3 linked regions of the Rhinolophus ferrumequinum genome follow. The protein of the gene in region 2 purifies or fractionates together with the protein of the main gene of each other region. This does not show direct contact. Links are inferred from orthologs where the notes say so. Each region holds a gene or a part of one and is shown on either strand. Other genes may lie near its edges.

Region 1 (3,755 bases), on a different chromosome or scaffold from region 2:
CTTCACAACTGTTGGTGTGTGTGTGGAGGGGCAGGGGTTGAGGAGCATGTAAGGAGAAAACTATTTTTATTTGAAAGGTTCTCATTGCTACTGAATATAACAGGCACACAAAAGCTATTTTCTACTTCAGGGCAGCATGGTTTGAACGAGAGGAAGCTCAGAGTTGATTCCAACCCAACCCTCTGAGGTGGTATACAGGTGAAGAAACTACGGCCCTAGAGCAATGAAGTATCAGGACATATGACCCCAAGTCTCTGAAGTGAAAAGAGTTAAGTGACATAAGGGGGATAAATGCAGCAGCAGCTAAATAGTGGGTCAGTCTCAGCTTCTGAGGCTGCAGCATTAATACAGCCTTAGAAAATGGAAATTAAGAGGCTAAACAAGTTACTACTAATAATTACCTCCAAGTTTATTATAGCTGTCGATGTTTTTAAGGCTTCTGGAAAATCAAAGTTAGAGATGTCTCCCCTTCTGCACTAAAGAAATGTACCTGTGAAATATAATGGGATGGAACTCAGGACACCAGGAGTCTAGTCACCTGTTCCTTCGATAGATGATTAGATAAAGAAGATGTCGTGTATATACACAATGGAATACTACTCTGCTATAAAAAAGATGAAATACTGCTGTTTGTGACAACATGGATGGATCCTGAGATTACCGTATCATGCTAAGTGAAATAAGTCAGACAGAAAAAGTCTCTCATATGTGGGATATAAAACCGAAAGCAACAAAGGAACAAGAGAAACAAACAAACAAAAACTCATAGACACAGACAATAGTTTAGTGGTTACCCGAGGTTAAGTGGGAAGAGAGGTGATAGATGAGGGCAAAGGGGGTCAAATATATGGTGATGGAAGGAGAACTGACTCTGGGTGGTGAACACACAATGTGATATATAGATGATGTAATATAGAATTGACACTTGAAACCCATGTAATTTTACTAACCACTGTCACCCCAATAAATTAAAAAAAAAACGTACTCAGAAGCTTTCGGTGGTCTCCATTTTTAGTCCTTGAACTAATTACACGTTTGCTTACTTTCCATCCTACAGCAAAGGCTTTCTCTAAGGACTTACTGTTGTTCCTATATATATACATATATTCTAAAATACATAAACTTTACATGCTGTATCAGCTGAGAAGTTAAGAGATAAGAGATGTTCAGAACTCTGACACATTGTTAACTGATAGGATCTAATTATCCCCAATTCAATAAAATATTCATGAGTACCAGATGTTACCTGATTTTATCTAAACAAGTATTTTCCAGGTTAAAAAAAACACTAAGTAAAAAGTACCTACACAAAACCCACATACAAAAAAACTGGTTTAATTTATCATGAAATTAAGAAAACCATTTCCTTCTTAGTTATTATACCTTAAAAAAGAAACAAATGTGTATTTCCATTATGCTAAAAACTTCCATGAAGCTATCCTATGGAAATATTTGCACTTGAGTCTATGAAATAAAAAACTGGAAGCAACCTGTATGTATATCAATAGATAAATACTATTATTTATATTTAATAAGTAATAGTATCTGGAGCTTTAAAAGAACAGGACCTTTCTATACAATATACCATCAAAAATTTTTAAAGCTGTAAGATTTCTATAGCATAATCCCATTTTTGAAAAAAGTGTATATGTATATGCATATATTTATGAATAAGCATAAAAATTCGTTTGGAAGGATAAGCACTAACCCGTTTAGTTTCCTATGGGTGAAAGGGTGTTGCATTTCACATTGTATTGTGGATATAATTTTTAAAACAGGAGGATATTGTCAAGGTTCCCTCATTTACTTTGTAATCAGTATCTGTAGGATGCATTAGTTTAAAATCTGAAGTTTTCTCCTTCCTTTGGGTTTCTAAATTACAAATAAGGGACATCACAATGCAGACAAAGCTCCCTGACAGCAAAATGTGCTTTAGTTGCTGCGGTCTGACAAAGATTCTCCCCGTGACCGCTTTCTAGCCAGGCTCCTCTGAGCCCTCTTCCCGACCAGGCCTCAATTTTGGCCCATAAAGGCTTGATTAAAACATTAATATGATTTCTAACAGCTCAAGGCTGTATCCCTAGAATGACCTTAACTCCTTTAAAGCGCCGGCCTGTGAAAACTGAATGCAGCCAAAATAATTTAGTTTGTTCCAGCCAACAGAGGGCGGGCAGTGGGATGGTAGGAATCTAACTTCCAAAGCTCCAGCTGACAAACCCAAATGGGTTTCAAAAGGACCAACCCCCTTCCCACTTTCTGTAATTTTTCACTTCCCTGACTCTAAGCCCCGCTCACCGCCGCTCCCTATCCTTTCATTCTCCCTGTAAAACGCTGTCACCTCTACACAAATGAAGTTGAGTTCAGTCCAAGCTGGACTCTTCTCCCTGTCGCAGCTGCATATTACTGATTAAAATTCGTACCGACCGCTTTAACTAGTGTCAGCTTTGTCTTTGACGCATCTCTCGGGCACTTTGCAGTCTATCAGAGAAAACGAACTACTGAAACAAGGAGCCGCAGCCGCCCGGGGCACCCCCGAGTGGCGCCGAAGGCTCCAGGAGCCCTTCTCCCGGCACCGAGCCCAGCGGCCCGGGCCCTCCAGGTCCGCAGGCGCCTCCTCCCTGCTGGTCGCCGCGCCGCCACCCGCCGGGCTTCGGGGCAACGCCAAGTTCCGCGGCGGCCACGCAGAACGGCGGGACAATCGCACGGCCCCAGGCCTCACCTTTTGGAAAGATGAGCTGGGAGGCGTCCTCCTCGACGTCGCCAGCCAGCGCATCGCTGCCACCCGCCGCCATCGCCGAGCTACGCGCCGCCACCCACACCGCCGGAAGCGGAAGCGTGGGGACCCCGGTGCAGCCACGTCCGGGGCGTGGCGGGGGCGTGGCGGGCCGGGGCCAGGACGCTGCGAGGGGAGGGGTTGTGCCGCGAGTCTTGGAGCGGGTCCCGGGACCGTTTTGAGCCTCAGCTTCTCACCCGTGAAATGTGGGTAAGGACACCTGCTTCCCAGTGGGGAGGGGTGGGCTGGATGACATACAGGAATGTGCCGGCTGACCCCAGGAACTCTCCGTTGAAGGGATGCCGGGTCGGTGACCTCGAAAACGTACCGGGGAATTTCTTCCAATGCCTTACGCATTTTAAATTTTGACGTGTAGTGGATTATTCTGATACTTCTGAGCACGTGGACAGTGATTTTGAGAGGCCTTTAATGTCTGTTGAAGCACTTGGATTATACATAGAAAAGTAAGCAAATGGAAAATGATGTTTTCAAATTCAGAGAAAAGATTGTAAAATAAAGGACATAATTATAGTGCATTGCTTCGCTCAGTAGTGAGCAGTGTTTAGGTATCATGTAAGCTCTGTTCAAATGAAAAATAAACCACACAAGAATATGTACCTTGTATTCCTTTACTTTATAATTTTTACAAAATTAATTTGCTTTGTATGTGTATTTCTAGAAGAAATGTATTGGGTATGTCGAAAGAATGCCTAGCCTAAGAAAGTCTTATAAGAGTTTATTTGAGCCAAACGGATGACAATTGCAGGCAAACAAAATCTCAACAGATTGAGAAAATGCTCCAGAAAATGGCAGTTTTGCAGCTTATTTTATACATTAGAGTCAAAGGAGGAGACCTAAGAAGGTTTACATGACATCCATTGATGGCAAATAAGGGGTGGGAGAAAGCAAAACGGAGAAATCTCTGGCATTGGATAAAAAGCAAAACGGAGTGGACATACTTTATATACATTGGTGGGCACAG
Region 2 (2,057 bases):
CACATTCTGGGGAGACTCGTTATGAACCCCTACAGTGTCCCTGTGGTTATGGAATGAAGATGCTATCTTATATAATAACGAACCTCCTTAAGCCACTCAACTAACTTGAATGTTGTCAATCAACAGAAATGACCAGTGGCACTAAAGAAACAATTCTATGTATGATCTACATTGCGAAAGGCTCTTCCGTCGTAATTATGCTGGCAGTGTTCTTTGATACAATTTGGAACCTGATTAAAAAGTTGAAAATCCCAGCTGTGTTCAGAAAAGTTTTGCTCTGAGTTACTCTACCGAAAGGAAAATCTAGGCCTTGGCAAAGGATCCTTAAGGCATGGTGGTATGAAGCAGAGGGCCATCTTTTTTTTTTTCTCCCACAATAGAATTTTACGGTAATTTGTTTAATTATGACCATTAATGTAAGAGCTGCCTCAATAATTTCATTTGGATAATAAAAAATGATAGTATAATGATGGTTTAAAGCTGGTTCAATCACAATCTTACAAGCTTATTTATCAAGAGTGAAACTAGAAGACTGTTAAAAATAGCTGGAAAGATAATGTGTTATAGTGGTTAATGTTTCTGTAACTGTTGGTAAGGCTTACATCTAAATCTGATGTATAATTCTTAATGCCATTGAAATAGCTCTTTTCTCAGCCATGCGGTATACGCTGGTACTATGAGTCTGGCAGAGACTGGCTATGGGTACCGCGTCTTGTCTTCAGCTGTGACTGCGCAATATCAGCAAGTGCACTTTGTATCTTTTCCAGAAGCATGTCCCCTCGATAAACAACATCCTCCAGACATGTAGCCACTTCGTGATTTTCTTCTTCTAGCTTATACAAGCTAGCAGCCTGTAAAGCAGCTGTAGATTCTTCACTGGGCAAGGAATCTATCAAAACATCGATGTCTTTTGCTGTTCGTGCAATCAGTGCTGCAAAAAGCTGGGCATAGTCTTCTGTGGGATTAGCTGGCTGATCTTTGTTAATTGTTGTCTGAATATTACTAAAAGAGGCAGGAGGACCACACTGGGGCAACACTCCAATTGCATTACAAAACTGGTCTGCAGGCGAGTTCACCGCGTCCTGCAGCTGTGTAAGCCGCCATGTCCCTGCAAGCAAATGAGAGAGAGTCATCTTTTTAGGGAATGTCAAGACATAGAACATTTTCTAAAACTGGGGGTTAGTTTACCTTTGTATATGAACAAGGTGCCGTGCTGTGTAGTAGCCTGGACTTGGTGGGAAATGTAAACTGTCCTTTGAATTTGAACCATACCAATGATTGCCACGCCTTATTATTGTTTTTAGAAGATAATAGCAAGTTTCCAACTTGATTCTCCACAGTGACTGAAGCTGGCTTTGGTGCTGATATTGGTATGGAGAAATTCTTCAACATCAAGTGCCGAGCTTCTGGTTTAGTGCCCAACGTCGTCGTGCTGGTGGCAACAGTGCGAGCTCTGAAGATGCACGGGGGCGGGCCAAGCGTAAGTCCCTTCTTCCTTCCTAGTGAAACCAATTTGAAAGTTAAGATAAAGCAGAATTGAGCGTTTGAAACATTTTGAAACCTGCTTAATAACTCTAGTTTTCTAGAATGTCTCCTTTTTTACAAGTTACCATCATAGGGCACTTAGAGTTTAGGTAAGTTCCAGTAAATATTAACACCCACAAAGTTACTTGTATGCAGTATTTTGGAAAGGAGCATAATGTAAACACTATTTAGTCCTAAGATTCCTATCTGAGGCTGATGTCAGCATTTTCTAGCCCCACGGTCATGGGAGGATAGAGCTCTGGTTGCTGAATGGAGCGCATACGGATCAGAATGATTCCTCTCGTGGGTGAGGTTGTTCAGTGTTTGTACAGACGGTTTTTTGGTTCACTGATGCTACATCTCATCAGATTTCTTCTAGAACTATGTTCCTTCTGTTTCTGTTTATTATGATTTCACTTTATAACTGTTATAGGACTGGATTATTTCTCAGAGAGCTTTGCTTGGAAAACATAAATTCTATTGTAACGTTTTTTAAAGACATTTGATATGAACCTGTATTGTTATATACAGAA
Region 3 (3,755 bases), on a different chromosome or scaffold from region 2:
CTCAGCTGAGAACCACCTGTAAAAACCTTCCCAGCTTCAGTATGAACTACTCAAAGGATGCTCAAAGATGTTTAATGTGCTAACCCTCTAAAAGGAGCTGTCAGTCCTTTTGCAGAAACGTTAACAAAACAGTTTAACCAGAACGTTCTTTCTCTATTACTGAAATAGATACATTTATCAAAAGGGAAGTCTTAAGGACCTCTCCTTGCCTTCTTTACAAAGCCCTTTCTGTGATGTCAGTGGGCCGGTAAACTTTTAATAGAGGGTTTTTAGATTCCCAGGAAGAGAAGTTCTGAAACGTTCTCCCTCGTGTTTAGCTGAAGAAAACAGAGAGAGGATGGGTGGGCTGCAACTGGCAAACTCAGAAAAGCACAGCAGGGTAGCAGGTGAGCTTTAAAAAAAAAAAAAAAAAAAGCAAATCCCTTGGCAAATTGTGTCGCCAAGGGTGATCACTATAACTGGAGATTTGTTATATAATTACTTGTTAACTACGGACAAACACATACATGTCTACAAAATGCCATGGTTACTCTAGCCATTGAAGCTAGTGAACCTAGTCCAAGAGTCAAGGTTTCTCCAACAGTTGCACTCAAAGAAAGAAGCAATCTCGGTACCTATTCCCTTCCAAGGTAACAGGATTGCTTTTACGTATACAAAACTGCCTCCGGCAAATTAAGCCAATCGCCTCCAGGAACGAAATCACTTTTTTCCCGTAATATCGATTTTTAAAGGGGAGAGGGGATACAGAAAGTACGTCCAAAGAGCTAAATATTTATCACTTCGATAAAAACGACTTCGCTCCAAACTGCAAATTTTGAACAGAAAAGGTCCCCACCCCCTCACGCCCCCCCCACCCCCCGCACTAACACCCAGTCCCTGCTTAGCTGGAGCAAAAACACGAGACCCGTGTCGGATGCACTGCATTCCAACATTTTTCAAAAAGTTTACGAGGATTTAGCAAAGCGGCAGGGAGAAAAATAAAGCAGGCAGAAGCGGGGGAGAGCGAGCAGGAGGGTTTCGGCAAAGAAGAACCAGATGAGCGCCCGGCAATGCTGTGCAAGGCCCGGTAACGGAGAAGCGACCCTGCACCCGAAGAGCAAGCGTCTCAGTGGAGCGCGGGGACTGACAGCCGCTGGGTCTCCGCCGCCCAGGGTCCCCCAGTCCCCAACCCGGCCCCTGCCGCCAGTCCCCTCCCTGACCCTTCCCCCGCAGCGCCGCCGTTGCCCGCTGGGCCAACTTGGCCCGGGGTCAGCTCTGCGGAGCGCGGTCCCGGTTGCCGGGGAGGCCGGCAGCGCCCTTACCTACCTCCTTCTGCTTAGGGTCCTGCGGGTAGACGTCCGGCGGCCCAAGCCGGGGACGTTTCAGTGGTCTCTGCTCATAGCTGAGAAGCCCGAAGGCGGCCATGATCTCTCATGTTAACCGGCGAAATGAATGAGAGTTGGAGCTGGAGCAGCCGCCTCTGAGCACCAGGGAGCAGCACTTTGCAGACAGACTCCGTCTCTCCCCCTCCTCGCTCGCTCGCTCGCTGTGGCGCTGCAGGCAAGAATAAAGCAGGTTGGATGCTGCCGCTGCCAGACACGCAGACACGCACTGATGGGGGCAGCCTTCGGCGGGCACCCTGCTGCGCTGGGGCTCCGGGACGCACCGCTCCTGTGGCGGCGGCCGACAGAAGCTGAAGGTCCGCTCGGGTCCTCCGCAGCGCCGGCCTCCCGCCCCCCCTACTCTGTCCCCAGGGGGAGGAGCAGCTGATGGAAACGTGTGACTTTTTTCACCAATGGACCCAAACCCACCCAGCCCGGCACAGGGCGGGGGTGGGGGAGGGGCACCGGGGGAGAAAAAAACTTTTCTTGGCGCCCAGGCGGGTGGCCCAAGTGCTCGCCCCAGGCTAGGGTGGCCCTCCGGCCCCAGGAAGAGACTGCGGAGCGGCCCGCCTCCGCCCCTCTTCCTCGTCAGGGATCCTTCCACGCCGCCACGCGCCCCGCAGACCCAGCCACCTGGGCGCGGACTCGACTCCGGCGGAGAGGCCTGGAGGGGATGGGGGAGGCAGAGATGCGGACGGTGGGGAAGCCGCGGGTGCCTCCTAGACGCCCGCTGGGCTCCGGTGGCGCATCGGCGGCTCCGGGCAGGCGCCGAGGCGCGCAGCTGGCGGTCTCGGCGGCTGGAGGGGGCCGTGCTCACGGTGGCGCGGGGCCGACTTAACCCTTTGCTGCCCCTCCAGGGGCTGGGGAAAGAGGGTGAGGAGGGTAGGCTGTGAGCGCCGACCCCGGCAGCCCGCCCGCCGGCATCTCAGGCTCCTCCCCCCCAGCCGCAGCTCCTCCTCCCACCCCACCCCCCAACAGTTTACCTGTTGGTCCCCGGCTAGTGGGCAGGGGCCCGCGGCAGCGGCACTCTGGCGGCCGCAGCCTCCATGATTCGGGTTGGGGTGGGGGGGATCGGATTTGATTTTATTAATAAGGCATCAGTCTCCTCCGGGAGAGCTCTGCGGACGCCGCGAAGTTTGCCACTGTCTGGGGGCGGCGGGCGACGCCGGCTCGCCGCCGCCGCCGCCGGCGTTCTCGCCCCCACCGCCCGGGAGCGCGAGCCTCCGAGTTGGCGGACGCGGCGCGGCGACCGCACTGAGCATGCCCAGCTCGGCGGCCGGACCGCGGAGGAGTTGGCTGCGAGCGCGCTCCGATCCGCCTCTCCAGGTTTTCGCAGCCGCAGAGCGCGCAGCCCGGGGGCCCCGGCGCCGGGACCTGCCCTGGGGCGAATCCTGGCGAGGGAGGGGGCACCCCCAGGGCCCCTCTCCCGGTCGCGGGCAGCGTCGTCCGCCTCGACCTCTCCTAAGGTCGCTGTTCTTGTAGCCTGGGCCGGAAATCTCACCTGCGCCGGGCGTGTGGACGGACGGAGGGAGGGAGGCAGGGAGGTGATCCTCCAGGGAAAACCTTAGTCCTCCAACCCGCCCGCGCTCCATTCTCGCTCCGGGGTGTGGGCACCGAGATGCTGGGCCACCTGCCGCGAGCACTAGGAGACCAGAGCTGCGGGGGCGGGCCCGGCTTGTCCCGAGGGACCCCGCGGGAGGCGCGCCCGGGAGGATGCGCCCGCACTTGGCCAAGAATGATGGCTGCCATTTATGGAGCCCTCGCTTGGTGCCAGGGTCTTGACAGTAAAGGTCTGTGATCCTTAAAAGAAACCTTACAAGGTTTTACTGTACCCTTTTTGTAGACAGACATTAAGTCCGCTCAAGGAGGCCCAGTGACTTGCTCAAAGCCCGGAAGCTGCCCCTGCCGGATCCGAAGTTTCTGCCCTATTCTCCACGACTTTGGATTGGAAGGACTGGGTTCCTGAACTGCCCTTGCCTAATTGTGTCACGTCTCCCACACCTTGAGGAATTTCTCAGACTCTTGGTTCCATCCTCTCTCTATAAGATGGTGCGAGCAGAATCTAACCCAAAGCCTTGGTACAGCACCTGGCACACAGTAGGTGCTCAGGAGATGTGGACCAAATCTGAATATCTACTTACCTCTGCTGACTGTAAGCAAAAGGGAGGTAAAAAAGGATAGATAAGGCGATGGCAATAGAGGCTAGTTTCTCACTCCGGACCCTCACCTATTAGCACTTCCCAATGCAGGCTGAGACCAAGTCAGGCCGGTGGTTTTTGGCTTCTTGACTCAATCTGAGCAAGTACTTTTGGAGAACAGTTACCCTCCATCAGGAGATATTTCCTGTCCACCTTCTGCACCCTGCCCCAAGGACCACCAATATCCTGGATGTAA

What was found.
Region 1: the proteins of mediator of RNA polymerase II transcription subunit 21-like (region 2) and POLR2D purify together in Homo sapiens (affinity purification with mass spectrometry; 4 studies listed by BioGRID and IntAct, with this or other methods). This does not show direct contact. The link is inferred for Rhinolophus ferrumequinum from reciprocal best matches to the Homo sapiens genes MED21 and POLR2D.
Region 3: the proteins of mediator of RNA polymerase II transcription subunit 21-like (region 2) and MED12L purify together in Homo sapiens (affinity purification with mass spectrometry; 3 studies listed by BioGRID and IntAct, counting the BioPlex papers as one, with this or other methods). This does not show direct contact. The link is inferred for Rhinolophus ferrumequinum from reciprocal best matches to the Homo sapiens genes MED21 and MED12L.

The regions. Positions count from the first base shown.
Region 1 is NW_022680440.1:944,352-948,106, forward strand, and holds the start of POLR2D (DNA-directed RNA polymerase II subunit RPB4), read right to left. Parts: upstream 2,858-3,755; 5' UTR 2,793-2,857; coding exon 2,720-2,792; intron 1-2,719. UniProt on the Homo sapiens protein: Core component of RNA polymerase II (Pol II), a DNA-dependent RNA polymerase which synthesizes mRNA precursors and many functional non-coding RNAs using the four ribonucleoside triphosphates as substrates.
Region 2 is NC_046286.1:94,043,216-94,045,272, forward strand, and holds mediator of RNA polymerase II transcription subunit 21-like, read right to left. Parts: upstream 1,134-2,057; coding exon 675-1,133; 3' UTR 626-674; downstream 1-625. Other genes in the region: MTHFD1L (monofunctional C1-tetrahydrofolate synthase, mitochondrial), read left to right, coding at 1,341-1,480. UniProt on the Homo sapiens protein: Component of the Mediator complex, a coactivator involved in the regulated transcription of nearly all RNA polymerase II-dependent genes.
Region 3 is NC_046285.1:10,003,619-10,007,373, reverse strand, and holds the start of MED12L (mediator of RNA polymerase II transcription subunit 12-like protein), read right to left. Parts: upstream 2,456-3,755; 5' UTR 1,995-2,455; intron 1,534-1,994; 5' UTR 1,405-1,533; coding exon 1,306-1,404; intron 1-1,305. UniProt on the Homo sapiens protein: May be a component of the Mediator complex, a coactivator involved in the regulated transcription of nearly all RNA polymerase II-dependent genes.